3 linked regions of the Caenorhabditis elegans genome follow. The protein of the gene in region 1 interacts with the protein of each later gene in a pairwise test. Each region holds a gene or a part of one and is shown on either strand. Other genes may lie near its edges.

What was found.
Region 2: the proteins of cyld-1 (region 1) and hum-1 interact in a two-hybrid assay, tested with the Caenorhabditis elegans proteins (one large-scale study listed by BioGRID).
Region 3: the proteins of cyld-1 (region 1) and F17A2.13 interact in a two-hybrid assay, tested with the Caenorhabditis elegans proteins (one large-scale study listed by BioGRID).

The regions. Positions count from the first base shown.
Region 1 is NC_003281.10:9,907,611-9,912,424, reverse strand, and holds the start of cyld-1 (ubiquitinyl hydrolase 1), read left to right. Parts: upstream 1-1,766; 5' UTR 1,767-1,767; coding exon 1,768-1,804; intron 1,805-1,856; coding exon 1,857-2,014; intron 2,015-2,069; coding exon 2,070-2,309; intron 2,310-2,702; coding exon 2,703-2,828; intron 2,829-3,108; coding exon 3,109-3,185; intron 3,186-3,228; coding exon 3,229-3,337; intron 3,338-4,814.
Region 2 is NC_003279.8:8,845,264-8,852,647, reverse strand, and holds hum-1 (Unconventional myosin-Ie), read left to right. Parts: upstream 1-1,531; 5' UTR 1,532-1,552; coding exon 1,553-1,684; intron 1,685-1,795; coding exon 1,796-1,938; intron 1,939-1,992; coding exon 1,993-2,122; intron 2,123-2,169; coding exon 2,170-2,313; intron 2,314-2,362; coding exon 2,363-2,575; intron 2,576-2,664; coding exon 2,665-2,797; intron 2,798-2,843; coding exon 2,844-2,925; intron 2,926-2,970; coding exon 2,971-3,080; intron 3,081-3,127; coding exon 3,128-3,248; intron 3,249-3,361; coding exon 3,362-3,763; intron 3,764-3,826; coding exon 3,827-3,908; intron 3,909-3,954; coding exon 3,955-4,305; intron 4,306-4,353; coding exon 4,354-4,461; intron 4,462-4,512; coding exon 4,513-4,689; intron 4,690-4,738; coding exon 4,739-4,845; intron 4,846-4,893; coding exon 4,894-5,031; intron 5,032-5,086; coding exon 5,087-5,298; intron 5,299-6,008; coding exon 6,009-6,139; intron 6,140-6,189; coding exon 6,190-6,502; intron 6,503-6,552; and 3 more. Other genes in the region: F29D10.3 (PAN-3 domain-containing protein), read left to right, coding at 7,167-7,271.
Region 3 is NC_003284.9:12,320,009-12,323,538, forward strand, and holds F17A2.13 (uncharacterized protein), read left to right. Parts: upstream 1-1,648; 5' UTR 1,649-1,657; coding exon 1,658-2,369; intron 2,370-2,513; coding exon 2,514-2,770; 3' UTR 2,771-2,985; downstream 2,986-3,530. Other genes in the region: Homeobox protein ceh-40, read right to left, coding at 601-692.

The DNA of each region.
Region 1 (4,814 bases):
ATCCGTGCGTCTTTAAGTTCACATTATAGTATTATGGTTCCAAACTTAAGGCCACACAATAGTTCAACACACGTCATTTCTAGCTAAAAAATATTATCTTGAATAACTCAATGTTCAATAGGAGAGACGAAAAGATAATTTAATGTATTTTCTGTTGATACTTTTAACTATTAATTTTGTTTATTAAATGTGATAACTTCCACTATTCCATAAGATGGATTCAGTTACATTTTTATTGCATTCAATTGTTGTTTATATTGGTGCGCAAGTCCAATCGAATGCGTTGTCCGTCTATCCTCAAGAGAACCGGTCTTTCCGTTTCCTCGACTTTTATCGATTTTTGCATTGAACTGCGTGTTCGGTTTGATTTAAAAAAGGTTCTGTATTTTTTAATTTATATTTTAAATTTGAATTTTCAAAAAACTTTCCAGCTACATTTCGAGTTCTCGTCTTCTTCAAAATGTCCAATCTTTTTGACAAATAAACTCATGTGCCTGGACCGCACTCAAACAAACGTACATGCAATCTGAATGTTACATCTTTTCTTTATTTATCTCAAAAAATTTGTATTTACCCAAATACTCATTTAAATAGCCACAACATTTTTAGTCATGTTGGTACCCTTGAAAAGGTTGCTCTAAACTTTAAATTGTCAATTTGAAGCTCTATTTGAGATGGGGTGGGCTCTGGGAATCTTGTTATCTGCTCACTGGGTTTTTGTCGGTTTTCTTTCATTCTAAAGCAATTCTGGATATTTTTGAAATTTTGATTTCTGAAAACTTTCCACTTTCCACTTTCCACTAACTACTATCTTTTTTCTTCGTTTTATTTCAAAAAGAAAGAAATAAAGCGAAAAATTATGTTAACCTGTCGCTAAATATCGGAAAATCTCATATTGGCTGGGTACCGCCACGCGATGTATAATTAAAATAAAATTTTAGTGTGTGCGCCTTTAAATGTTACTGTAGAATTTTAACAATGTTTTTTTAACTATAAAAACAATTAATTTTGAGTTAAATAACAAAATAATGGAACATTTTAAAAAAATTAGAAGACACAATAATTTTCTTTCCGCAAATAAAATCGAAGAAAACAAGCCTAGAAATTGTACAGTAACAGGCGCAGACACCAAAACTTTATTTCCAGCGCGCGCGGCGAGACCCATCCGCAGACATGCACCTCCCTTGAAACATGTTTGAATTTTTATTTTTGTTTTGTTTCATTTAAATGCATTTTTGAACATTTTCAGCGATTTTTAAAGATTTTTTCGTCGTAAATTCCGTAATAAATTTTTCAGAAACATGCTCAACCTTTGCCTACATTTTTTCGCATAAAATTTACCATTTTTGAAGAGAATCGCAATTTTAAATGGCATTTGCAACATAAACTATCTGCTCCGCAAGCCTCTTATCATTTTCCCTCGCTTTCTGTAAATAATTGTGTCAAAGCTCTCGTTCTCTCATTCTCTTTCGAAAACGTTCTCTGTCATTTGCTTGCTCGATGTTTTATTTTTCGGCAAAAAAAACCTAGCGCGCAAGGAAAACCCGAGGTCAAAACCAAAAATATTATTCAACACCAAATAGGTATATGATGCGGAAGTCTAATAATTGTTTGGACAACGTCCTTTTCTATTTGCTCACCGAAACGTAACACTGAGCTTCGCGCGCGCGCTTCGTCCACCGCTCTCCACTTATAGTACGAATCTTTATTTCATTTATTGAAATGTTGTCGTTCGTCAAACGTTCTAAACAACCCGCATATTTCAGAATGCCCGGCGAATTTGCAAAGTTTCCGGAGCAATCAGGTATTTTACGAAATAATAATAATTTTTTTTAAAACTATGTTTTTAATTTCAGCTGGATCTCATCAATTTCGTAACCCACTCGATGAACTTACGGGATCAAATACAATAACAAATTTAACTGCACACGATTTTGATTATTTTACACAGTCCGAGAAAAATTCAAATTTATATACAAGTGAAAATACAAGCAATTCTAACAGATTAAATCTCGTAAGTAACATTATTCTTGCTAAATCGATTTTTAAAAATTCGTTTTTTTTTTCAGAATCAAAATATACCGGTCGGCACATTAATAGATGGATTTGAGCTTATTAATGAAGCTTCTGGCTCCGGCTTTTTAGATGATCAATTAGTGGATGTTAGCGATTATAGCCGAGATAGGACGACGAAGCTGGATAGGAATAGGAATTCTCCCGAGCTAATAGTTGCTCTTTTGCAACGAAAAGTTCAAGGAATTCGATTTTCATCGAATTATGGAAGAGAGGAAGAACCATGTGTTATTGAGGTGATTGAAGTGGATTTAAATGAGGAAAATGAGCCAAAAAGACCGAATAGCGATAGTTTTCGGGGAAAAAAACAGAATTTCATCTAAAATCGCCAATTCTCCGTGTCGTAGCTGCCGAAATTTGATTTTTATTTATTTTTTGTCATCTTTAAGTTTTTTAAACGCTTTTTTTGTTGATTTAGGTAATTTTTGAGCCGATAATCGATTGATCAACGGAGAAACAACCAAAATATGAGAAAAAAATCCGGCCGACACTCAAAAGCGTGCATAATTTGATGTTTTAGCTGAAATCATGTTTTTGTAAAGCATTTTGGAGAAGTTTCGTTATGAAATTTGGTCTTTTGCTTATTTTTTCCACAATTAAACATTTTTAATTTTATTTTCTATTTTCAGATCCCACCAGGAACAATGGTTCGCGAAATGGCAGATGATGATTGGAAAATGTCTGAATTAAAAGAATGGTTCACAAAATCAAGAGCTTCTTCGCATTTACGTGATGGATTAGCAATGCCCATGGAGGTATCGTAATTACCCTGATTTTTGCGGCTAAAACTACGGTAGCGGGTCTCGACGCGACAAATTTAAAAGAACTGTAATTCAAAATTTTCGTTCCCGGCGAATTTTCATTGAATTTGTATAGTTTTTCTCCAGAATTCTTGTTTTTTTTTTTGAAAAAACGATTAAAAAATCGATAAAAATTCCAAAAATTTGTCGTTTCGAGATCGGCTACCGTATTTTTGGCACAAAATTTTTCGTCAAATTAATGCCTTTTCAGTTTCTCAATTTTTTTAAATTTCAGGAACTCGACTGCACTCCTCTGATTTGTGCAATGATTACCAGATCCGATGTAATGAGAATAAACCAAGATCAAGCAATGTATATTTATTATCTTTATAAATAAAATTTTTTCCCTTTTCAGACATCTTCTGGCTGTCAGTGTAGAGAAACGAATAGAAGTTTATCAAAATTTCGAATGGTTCAATTTCATTCTGAATCTGAAAATTGGCGATTCTGTTTCTGTGGAAGTGGTAAGTATTTGAAATTATATGTTTCTCAAAGGAATCTAGTTTTTAACCAAAAAAAAAGAAAAATAAAACAACGAATTCAAAATAAAGAGACGCAGACGAGAAATGGGCGTCTCCTTGTATTCAGAATTAGACTGTCACACGTGACTGATTGAAATTCCGATGGCATGACTAACTTATAAGTTTCTTGAAAATAATATAATGGGATAGGAATTAATGGCCCACGAGTCACATTTTTTGCTAGGCCTCTGTAAATTCCGCTCTGACAAAGTCAATTTTCCGGCTTTAATTAAAAAAAAAAACGAATTTTTTTGAAAATCGAAAAAAAATTGGAGTCTCTTGCTCGAATAATGAAATTTTTTTGTTTTTTCGAATGAAATAGTGATTGTGCCTCATCTTAAATAGTTTACTAGTGTCCAAAAAATCGAGAAATTTTCGTTTTTATTTTTTATTCTCAAACTCTCGATTTATATTTATCTCTTCTGGTCCGGGAAAAAATTAAATCCGGGAAAATTTCAAATGTACAAAAAAAATACATCCACATAGATTATGATACTTCTGATAAAGGGTGTCGTTTTTCGGTTTTTCCAAAATAGAAAAATTGGAAATCGAAAAACAAAAATTCTCGATTTTTCGAATTTTTAAAAATTTCGGAAAATCGAAAAATCAAAAAGACAATTTTTTTTCAGAAAATTAACCATAAAATATGATTTTTAAAGTTTAATTTCGTTTACATTGTTGAGAAAAAAACAAAACAATTTATTCTAAAATGAAGAACAATGAACAAAATTTTAAAGCTAATTTTAGAAAAATCGAAAAATGAAATAGAGAACCGGTTCACGATATCATTGACACTGACCGAAATATGTTTTATTGAACAACATCGAGAGGGATTAAGCATACAGTCGGCAGAAAATTGAGAAATTCTTTCAGTTTTAATTTTAATTTGAATCAGAAGCAAGGGCGTCGGGTTTTCAATTTTTGAAAAAACTAAAAATCGAAAAATCGAAAACTTTTTAGAAAAATCGAAAAATGAAAAGTTTTCGATTTTTCGATTTTTAGTTTTTTCAAAAATTGAAAACCCGACGCCCTTGCTTCTGATTCAAATTAAAATTAAAACTGAAAGAATTTCTCAATTTTCTGCCGACTGTATGCTTAATCCCTCTCGATGTTGTTCAATAAAACATATTTCGGTCAGTGTCAATGATATCGTGAACCGGTTCTCTATTTAGTTCTTTCTCTCTCTCTTTTCAACACAAAAAACATAGAGTTCCTCTTTCTCTGTGTGAAAGTATAAGTTATCCTCTTCTCTCTCTCTCTCTCTCTCTCTCTAACAAACTATTTGCCTGTTTAGTTGTTTCTTTCTTTCCTCTTCATCGTCTCAACCAACTTGTTTCTCATTTCATTGGCGACGCCCTTCCTTCTCCCAATTTGTTGTCATCGAACTTGAATTGATTGAAACAAAATCAGTTGGACAAAC
Region 2 (7,384 bases), on another chromosome or scaffold:
CATCACTTTTTTCCATTTTTGTTCGTCATATACTCATGTTTCTCATCTCCTTGTGCCGTTTGGCACTCCCGAGACGTTTTCACTGATGAATGCAAAAAGTCATGGCTTTTGGTCTTTTCGAGTGAAATTCGACATTTTATTTTTTTCATTTTTCTCTGATAATGAAACAAAACTTTGATAATGACTCACTTTGCCTAGTTTTGATCAAAATTTTGATAAAATTGAAATTAGTGAGTTTTGTAGAAAATTGGCTTTCAATTTTTAAGTTTCGCGCTGTTTTCGTTAGGGCGCACTTGCACATTGCGATTTATCTTCCGTGGGCACGGTTTCTGAATTTATAGGCGGAGTTTTTTGTTGAATGCTTATTAATAACATATTTTATTATGACGAAAGTTTATATTTGTTTTTAAATATGAATTTATATAAACCAAATTTAGATTAATAGCTTAATGTAAAAGATTTCCTAAAAATAACTTTTCCATAAGATAAACTTCTCCGCAAGTTTGAAAGTCCTCTTAAAATTAATTTTAATTTTGTTTCATTTGAATTAGTTGTCTTTTGCAGCTGTTTGTCAGGATTTCATAACTTATTCAAAGATTTTTTTCTATTTTTCATCCGTCTAATGTTTTGCTCAAATCAAAATTCATAAATAAATATTCTAATATGTATCTTCAAGCCTCTTCCAATTTTTTCTGAAACTCACTAAATATATTAAACACTCCTTCCATGTTTCCTACACATTTCTGACACATCTAAAATCAAACAGATCAGAGATGTGGTCATCGTGAAATTGAAAATATGTTCCTCTTGCTTATGAGTCATCGTGTTGTGTTGACTGCCTACGTCTCTCGTTCTTCATGCATCTTTTGTTTTAGACTTTATACTAATAGTAAAAATTCTAGAATGCGTTTCATTAGACAGAAACTGTTTTCAAAAACACCTTTGAATTCTGTTAGAATAATTTTAAATTATTCAACACTCTATCCACAGCTTTTATGTTCAAACGAAACTTAACGGTGTCCATCTATGTCTCCGCGATTTCTGAAGGTCACACTCCAAGGTGGCAAGGATGTAAATGAAGACAGGCACAATTGGAAAGTGGTCACCTCCTTCTGTTCATCCTCCTTTCGTTCCAAAAAGTCAATCGTCTCACCTCAATTGGTCTGTCGCTTCTCAAATTCTCTACCCGTTTGACTTTTATTTAAAATTGTTTACTTCACTCTAAATTTTAATATTTTTCAATTTTAAATTGTCTTAAATCCGTTCTTAAAATTTTGGTTTTCATCGAGAAACTTTCATTCATCTCCTCTAGTTCATAATTCCTACTCATCAATCTTTTCATTTCGCTCGATGAATTCACTACCTTCTATTATAAACGAAATTACCGGATTACTCTCTCTCTTTTACTCTTCAACTGTAATAAAAAAGCGACAAGTTGGTCGAAAACGACATTTATAATCCCCTCTCCTGTTTCTTAGACTTTTTGTTTCCCATATTCCCCATTTCTCGGAATTATGTCTGTTTTTTTCAGTAAATACGCCGGTGGTTCATTATGGCGTTCCACTGGCAATCAAAAGTCAATGTTCAGCATGTCGGGGTCGATGACATGGTCCTTCTGCCAAAACTCACAGAGCAAAGTATCGTTGAAAATTTAAAGAAGAGGCTTCAAGCTAACAGTATTTTTGTAAGTTTAGAAGCTTTTCTATCAATTGTTATATTTTTTTGCTGGTTCAAGAAACTTAATCGCTAAAGTTAATTTTAAAGCCTAACCAATAATTAATGTTTCATATTTCAGACATATATTGGTCCTGTACTGATATCGGTAAATCCCTTCAAACAAATGCCATATTTTACGGAGAAAGAAATGCTTCTATATCAGGGAGCTGCTCAATATGAAAATGCGCCACATATCTATGCATTGGCTGATAACATGTACAGGTAAGATAGTTTTCAATGTAATGAAAAATGTTTTTAAAAAAGTTGAAAATTCAGAAATATGCTCATTGATAACGAGTCCCAATGTGTTATTATATCTGGAGAATCCGGTGCCGGTAAAACAGTCAACGCGAAGTTCATTATGAATTATATTTCTCGTATTTCGGGAGGAGGGCAGAAAGTTCAGGTAAATTTACTGATTAGAGGTATGATTTTGAAACTATGAATTTTCAGCACATCAAAGATGTTATTTTGCAATCAAATCCACTTCTCGAAGCTTTCGGAAACAGTGCAACAGTCCGTAACTGGAACAGTTCGAGATTTGGAAAATACGTAGAAATTGTGTTCAGTCGAGGTGGAGAACCTATTGGTGGAAAAGTAGGTTTTTAATAGTTTTTTTGCTAATTTTTCACAAACAATTTTTCAGCTTTCCAACTTTCTTTTGGAAAAGTCTCGAGTTGTTCATCAAAATGAAGGAGATCGAAACTTCCATGTTTTTTATCAATTATGCGCTGGCGCAGACAAGAACTTGAGAAGTACTTTCGGAATTGGAGAACTTCAATATTACAACTATTTAAATATGAGTGGAGTTTTCAAAGCAGACGATACGGACGATGGGAAGGAATTTGAGAGCACCCTGGTAAGATTTATGATCAGACAAATCGATTTTGTACAACAAGAACTCAGAAATTATTTTCCCCGTTTTATATAAAATATTATATTTTCCAGCACGCAATGAAAGTTGTCGGTGTTAATGATCAAGATCAATTAGAAGTTTTGCGAATTGTGGCAACTGTTCTCCATATCGGAAATATCACTTTCACCGAGGAGAATAATTTTGCTGCAGTTAGTGGAAAAGATTGTGAGTTACTGTTTTAAGATATATCACTTTACATTTAATTATTTAGATCTTGAATATCCTGCCTTCCTTCTGGGACTCACTAGTGCAGACATTGAGGCAAAGCTTACTGGTCGTAAAATGGAGAGCAAGTGAGCAGTTTCACATTAGTTTCAAATATTTCAATTTATTTTCAGATGGGGTACACAAAAGGAAGAAATCGATATGAAGCTTAACGTTGAGCAGGCGAGCTATACCAGAGACGCATGGGTTAAAGCAATTTACGCAAGATTATTCGATTATCTTGGTTAGCTTATTCATTTAAAATTTCTTTCCATGTATAAAAAATTACAGTAAAAAAAGTGAATGACGCAATGAATATCACTTCACAATCGACTTCAGACAACTTTTCTGTTGGAATTCTTGATATCTACGGTTTCGAAATTTTCAACAATAATGGATTTGAACAATTTTGGTAAGTTTAAGTTATTCTACTGAAATGATTGACCCAGTTTGTCTAAAAACCGAATTGTTCCTATTTTTGTTTTTGGAAAACCTTAATATTGATGAAATTAATACGAATTTCAGTATCAACTTTGTCAATGAAAAACTTCAACAAATCTTCATCGAATTAACGCTAAAAGCAGAACAGGAAGAATATGTTCGTGAAGGAATCAAATGGACAGAAATCGATTATTTCGATAACAAAATCGTGTGTGATCTGATTGAAACGAAGCGTCCACCTGGAATAATGAGCCTTCTTGATGATACATGTGCTCAAAATCATGGACAACGAGAAGGTGTCGATCGTCAATTGCTCACGACTCTTTCGAAATCATTTGCTGGACATCCCCATTTCGGCCCTGGCTCAGATTCATTCGTTATCAAACATTATGCTGGAGATGTTACATATAATGTAGATGGATTCTGTGATAGAAACAGAGATGTTCTTTATCCAGATCTTATTCTACTCATGCAAAAGTCTTCACGGTAAGGTTTTAATTTTCTAAATGTGTGTTTTGTTTTATTATTTCATTTGGTTTTTTTTTTCAGCCCATTCATTCAAGCTTTATTCCCTGAAAATGTAGCTGCGTCAGCTGGAAAACGACCAACAACATTCTCAACTAAGATTCGAGTATGTTTTAGTAATAAAATGTCAACATTTTTAATTTTAATTGCAGACTCAAGCTAATACTCTTGTGGAATCCCTGATGAAATGCTCACCTCATTACGTACGATGTATCAAGCCAAATGAAACAAAACGACCAAATGATTGGGAAGAGAGTCGAGTGAAGCATCAGGTTGAATATTTGGGTCTTCGTGAGAATATTCGAGTGAGAAGAGCTGGTTTTGCATATCGAAGAGCTTTCGACAAATTTGCCCAACGATATGCCATCGTCTCTCCTCAAACGTGGCCATGTTTCCAAGGAGATCAGCAAAGAGCTTGTGAGATAATCTGCGATTCAGTTCATATGGAAAAGAATCAGTATCAGATGGGAAAAACTAAGATATTTGTAAAGAATCCCGAATCGGTATGTTTTTCTAAATCAAAATATCGAAATGCAATAGATACATTCCAGCTGTTTTTATTGGAAGAGACTCGTGAACGCAAGTTTGATGGTTACGCAAGAGTCATTCAAAAAGCCTGGAGACAATTCTCGGCTAGAAAGCAGCACATTAAGCAAAAGGTAAAATCCAACAAAAATAAAAAATTGAATAAACATAAATTCTTATTTCAGGAGCAAGCTGCCGACCTCATGTATGGAAAAAAGGAACGCCGTCGCTACTCATTAAACCGAAACTTTGTCGGAGATTACATTGGATTAGAGCATCATCCGACACTTCAGTCCCTGGTTGGCAAGCGTCAGAGAGTGCTGTTTGCATGCACTGCTAACAAATATGATAGAAAGTTTAGGGTACGGTAAATTTGAGTTTAATTATTAGTCATCAATCGTTTATGTTTAGGTGACAAAACTTGATTTACTTTTGACTGTCAATCATTTGACTCTTATTGGAAAAGAAAAAGTGAAGAATGGTCCCGAAAAGGGGAAGATCGTTGAAGTTATCAAAAGGTATGATTTTTCCATTTTATTAAGATTAGTTTAAAATTAAAATTTCAGACAATTTGATCTACCTCAAATCAAATCAATTGGTCTATCTCCATATCAAGACGATTTTGTGATATTATATCTGGGAAACGATGATTATTCTTCTCTTCTCGAAACACCATTCAAAACTGAATTCTGTACAGCTCTCTCGTAAGCGCATTATATTGATTTGACTAATTCAAAGTTACGTATTCTTCAATTTTAGAAAAGCATATAAAGAACGAACAAACGGTACTCTTCATCTCGATTTCCGTAGTTCTCATGTTGTTAGTTACAAAAAGATGAAATTCGATTTCTCCGATGGAAAACGAACGGTTCAGTTTGGAAACGATGGAACTTCGTCTGCAGAGAAGACATTGAAACCAAATGGAAAAGTTTTGAATGTTAGCATTGGTACTGGATTACCGAATACTACAAGTGAGTCGAGAATGTTTGAAAAAATTATCTTAATTGTAACTAATCAGAACAAAAAACTTATTAAAGATGGATCAATGTGGAAATTGCTTTAAAACTTGCCTATAGCACCACAATCAAGGCTGGGACCAAAAAAATTTTAATTTGTGAAAAAACAAAAAAAAAGTCGACTTTTGGTATATTTTGAACTTTTTAGAAAAAAATCATTGAAAACCATTAAGGAACACATTTTGCTTTAAAAAATTGTAAATCCCAAAATACCCCAAAATACCCCAAAATACTCAAAATACCAACAAAAAAACCAAAAAAAGCCCTGACCACAATGACCAAATATCATAGTAAAAAGTTCAAAAAATGTTTTAATTTTCATGATTTTTTGAAATTTGAAAAAGTCTCAGTTTTTCCACTTTGTTGGAAGTCGTCGATCAAAAAATGTTATCCTGTTAATTTGACGGTCGTATGTTTTAAACATTACTATTCAAACATTGTAGGGATGCGACAGTGATATAGTTTTCTCAAAAAGTGGCAAAAACTCGGTTATTGTCACTTTTTGACTTTCAATTTTTTCTTTTGAAAAGTTTTCCTATGATATTTGGTTATTTTGGAACCATGTTTAACTATTTCCAAACTGGCGCTACTCCACCTTTGTAACTGTAGTGGCGTGTAACTTCTTTAAATAATATAGAAGTTACGAATAAAATTTGAATCTTCAGGGCCATCAACTGAACGTCCACAAGGTGGGTACACCCCGCGAAGAGATCAATTGAGAACATCAACACGACGAACGAAACAGAATAATCAAAGTTATGGACAAAATGGCCAATCTCAGGCAATGAGAGCTCCGGTAAGATTTTCAAAATTAATTCCATTGTAATTTAGATTTTCAAATTTCAGGTTCCCGCTCATGGAATGAATAACAATTACAATCAGACACCAGCTCCAGTATCGACTAATCATCAATATAGCCAAGAACCTGCGCGAATTCCAGTGATGGGAAACGTCATAAATCAGTTGAATAACATGAATCTATCTGGAAACGGAAACTCTCCAGCTGGACGAGGACCTCCGCCAGCGCGTGGACCAAAACCTCCTCCACCAGCAAAGCCAAAGCTTAATCCTGTCGTTATTGCTGTCTATCCATATGAAGCTCAAGATGTTGATGAGCTCAGCTTTGAAGCTGGAGCTGAAATTGAACTCATGAACAAAGGTTTGTCATAACTATAAGAATACTATTTTTTTAAATATTTGTGATTTCAGATGCTTCTGGATGGTGGCAAGGAAAAGTGAACAATCGAGTTGGTCTTTTCCCCGGAAATTATGTCAAAGAATAATTTCATTTTTTATTGCACGATCTCCCCCTCATTTCCCCAATATCTGTGAAATGCCTGTTTGTGAACATTGATTACGAGTTGTACTATATTTCTTTAAATATTTTATATTAGCATCCTTTACTCATCAAATACTTACTTCTGTTTATAAACCACAATGGTGTAATTTCATGTTAAATTGTTACTATATTGTTTAAAATAAATCGGAAGACTACTTTTTTCTCGTCAAGTATTTCTACAAGAAAAGTATACACACCAGGGATGGATCAATAAAACTATTTTCAAATTTAGGTTTTGGATCAGTTCACAAAACTTGCTACCATATATCCTACTTTTTATGCACGGAATATATATTTACATACAAACTTTCATGTTTTACGAGCTCGATAATAACAAATACAGAATCTTAGACCTTATGCAACGTTTTCGATGAAAACTTTACGAACATTTTTTTCAATTCACCTCCAAACCGAAAATTCATTAAAAATGTTTTTGTTTCTATTAATCTTCGTGCTTCCTCGGCTCATTACTGCTAATTTGAAGATGATGGTAGTATACGGTGAAACAGATGAATACAATAATCACTCAGAAATTCAAGAAAATTGGGACAATTGTCTGGTAAAATGCTACTGGGATGACGATTGTTTAGTGAGTTATTGTATTGGATTAAGGTTTGGTACGGTATACATGAAATTTTTCAAGAAAAAAAAACGTTCCATGTTCTTAAATTTAAACCTGAAAAAAGTGTCTCTTGTTGTGAA
Region 3 (3,530 bases), on another chromosome or scaffold:
TTCTTTTTTGTATCTTGATAGTAATCTCTAGTGTTGGTTTTCATCTTATCGCAACTTCTCCATAAATGTATAGTTACCAAAACAATATTATGATAAATACTGAAGTTGAAAGAAAAACATAAGCACTCCAGCGGAGAGTTTGCTTAAGAAAGTTTTTCCAAAAAATAGTTTTCAAGAAGTTTGTGATGATAGTTGAACTAGAGCAATGTTTTAAGGAGCGGTACTGTTCAAATAAAGAAATTAGAGACAGGCTATTGCCTACAAAAGCTGATCAAAAAAATTAAACATTTGATGTTTTACGAAACTTTGCTTAAAAGCATATCTTGTCATTATTTTTTCTTGAGTCGTAAACTAATCAAAGTATTTTAAGTATGAATGAACATTTGTTATCAACATCTATAAACATTGACCAAAATTTTGAAACTTATTAATAATTTTGATTTGAATACTTATATCATCAACACGCCCATGAAACAATATTGAGAATTTTTATTATAGGAATATCAGAAAAAACAAGCGCAAACCATCACATAACGATTGTTGATTTTTTTTTTTGAAAACTTCGATTTATGGCAGCACATAAGCAAAAATCTAACTCACAATTTATTGACAGCTTCATTATCCATAGTCATGTCGGTAATTTTGACAACTTCTGACAGCAGATCCATAATCGATTTTGACGCCTCACTCATGTCTACAATAAACCAGAATTAATGATAAATGACAGGAAACGTATTGGAGATAAAATGTTGATGAGACGGACACATTAGCGAGAGGTGGGGTAAAAACGTAACGTTGTCAAGAATAAAGACAAATTGTGGTTGACAGACAGTATCGGTGCACGCAACGCAAGTGGTTGTAAATGATGTGCGCAGTTTGGGCGAGTCAATCGAATACTTTTTTGTGTGCAAGCGTTCGTTGCGTAATGAGCGCAACTGTGCGGTGAGATGGGAAGGTCAGCCGATATTCAGTCACGATATGAGTTGCAACAGATGCCGTTTCCCACATATTGGATTATTCGCCCATTGTTCTCCTCTTTCTTGCTCTTAATGTTGCCTAATCGTTTTTTTTTGTGTTCTCAATCTTACAAGTTAATGCATTTTTTATTGTTTTTTTCTCAGAAGCAAAGTTGCGTTATATAGTAACCAAATTTGAATTATGCTTTTTTTCAATTAAATCTGAAGATAGTGGACAGTCACTTTTTTGAAGAAGCCTGTAGAAACAACAGAACAAAATTAAATGGTGCAATTTTTTCTGATTTCACTGTTAAGCTGCAGTTTTTAGTTATTAGTTTTGCAGTCAACAAAGATTATCTGCCAAACTTGGAAGGGTGTCAATGTTCCCATTGCTACATGTTGTTTTCCTCTGACGATTTATGGGTTGAAGAGTCGGGAAAGGAGTGGGATGAGAGTCTAATGTCGCGTTAGCAATATCGATCGATATAAATAAGTGTAAAAATATCTAATTCCTCGTTTTCTTCATTTTGTATTTGAACGAATGGTCTTCTGTTTACACTCTCAATTATTCTCCGTCTCGAAAACAACTGTTTGGACTTTTTTTTTTCAATCTTACTCTTTTGTTCCACATTTTTTTAACGTTCTCAATTTTTCAACTGGTTATACAATACCTATAATTTTTTTTAAATTTCAGTACAACAATGTCGTGTTGCAATGACTTCTCCTACTCCAACGCTGGAATCTATAGGCAAGCGATGGAGGATATCATGTTTACCCCGAACAAAGATAAAAAGAAGTCAGCCTTTCATGATGAAACTTTAAATAGCCTCCGAAAAGTGAGCAGATTGGTGCAGAAGTTTGAAAGTGGCGGAACTGACGATGAGACTGTTGATGAGACCGAAAAAGAAGAGCAAGGAGAAGATGTGTGCGATGGTCCTGTGTTCAGGAAGGAGTCTTTTCTGAAACAGAGCCAAAATGAAGAAGAAGAAGAAAAGGCAGATGTTCAAGAAAATTTTGACGAGCAGGAGAATGCTAAAAATGAAAACGACGAGGTGTTCTATGAAAACGAGAACGAAGCAAAGGAACTAGTCGAGACCCCCATTCTCCGATCTTTGTCCCGCCAATTTTCTGGCCTAACGATTATCAAGTCTCACATCAAAAAAGACAATCTCGATGTGGAGAGTAGATCTCCAGCTCGTCGTGAGACGAGAATCATGTCAAGAAGAAAACAAGAATCGTCAGTGTCGTCATGCTCATCGGAGAGCTCTCATTGCTCCGCTTCATCGTCTCTCAGTAAGACGGAAAAACCAGAACCTGAGAATAGCAACTTCGTAAACGAACTGTACTACTGCAAATTGGCGAGATCTCAAGTTCACCACAAGTTTGAAGCATACTTCAAGTGGAAATCAGAGAGTAAGCATTTCTAAATTTTGAACATAAATTTTATTAGAGAAACTGATGTTTAATGGCAAGCGGAACTGTTTATCAACATGCAAGCAAAATTTATATTTCGTTTAGAGCAGTGTCTAATTATCACTAATATTGTTTAATTTTCAGCACTCCGATCAATTGCGGCATCGGTTTCACAGATGCGCTTGGACACATTGAATTCGATCATTGCACCACACGATGAACGCGTAAATGTTCTCAAGACAATCTATGAAAATTGCAAGAAGGGAGTAAACAAAGAAATGGATGCACTGTGCTGTGCTCTTTTTGATCTTCTTGATGATGTCGATGAGAAGTCATTATCGATTCACGAGGAATACGTTGCTGCCAAGTACCATAAAAAGTTGCAAAGTCAAAACTGTTAGTGGATATTTTGACATAGTCTTTTTTAATCTTTAGCTATTCCACCGCCTACTTCTTGTCAAATTTCTGAAGTTTTAATGTCTACCTGAATCTCGTTGTTTCACATTGTTTTTTTGTTTTCCTTTTGATCCTTCAATATTTTCTTTTTTTTTTCGTTTTAAAACATGTTTTGAATTGCCAATTCATGGTAAAGTTTTAATAAACAATCATAGTCAGTAATTAAATTTGGATAGTATTTGTCAATAGTTAGTCAAACTTGTCATAAATGTGTGGACAAAATAAAAACAATAATGAATATATTATTGGGCATAATACAGAAAAAGGGATGAGCTGAATTCTATTATATATAGTGATCTATGTTGACTTTTGATATTAATTGCCTAACATCTAAAATCTTTGATATTTGATAAATTTCCACTGAACACTGAACCTACTTAAGGCTATTCACAACAACAAATTGAAAAAGCATTCAGACACAATTTAGGCACGTTTCGCGCAACAATTTAACCACAAAATGTTCATAAATCTAAATTCTCGAAATTGGTTCTGCAAAATTGAAAAAAAAAAAATTAAGTGCCTGATAATTTATTTTGAATATTAATCGTTTGAAATGATAATGTTCCGCGCTTTCCAGCGGACGAAAACCGGGTTTCTACTTATTTTTTAATTTCCATCTTTTTGTTGCTCAGGTTGTCGTAGTTGGTTGAAATTCCTGATTAAATGTTCAAATATTATTCTAAGATTTCACGTCATTATTGGAAA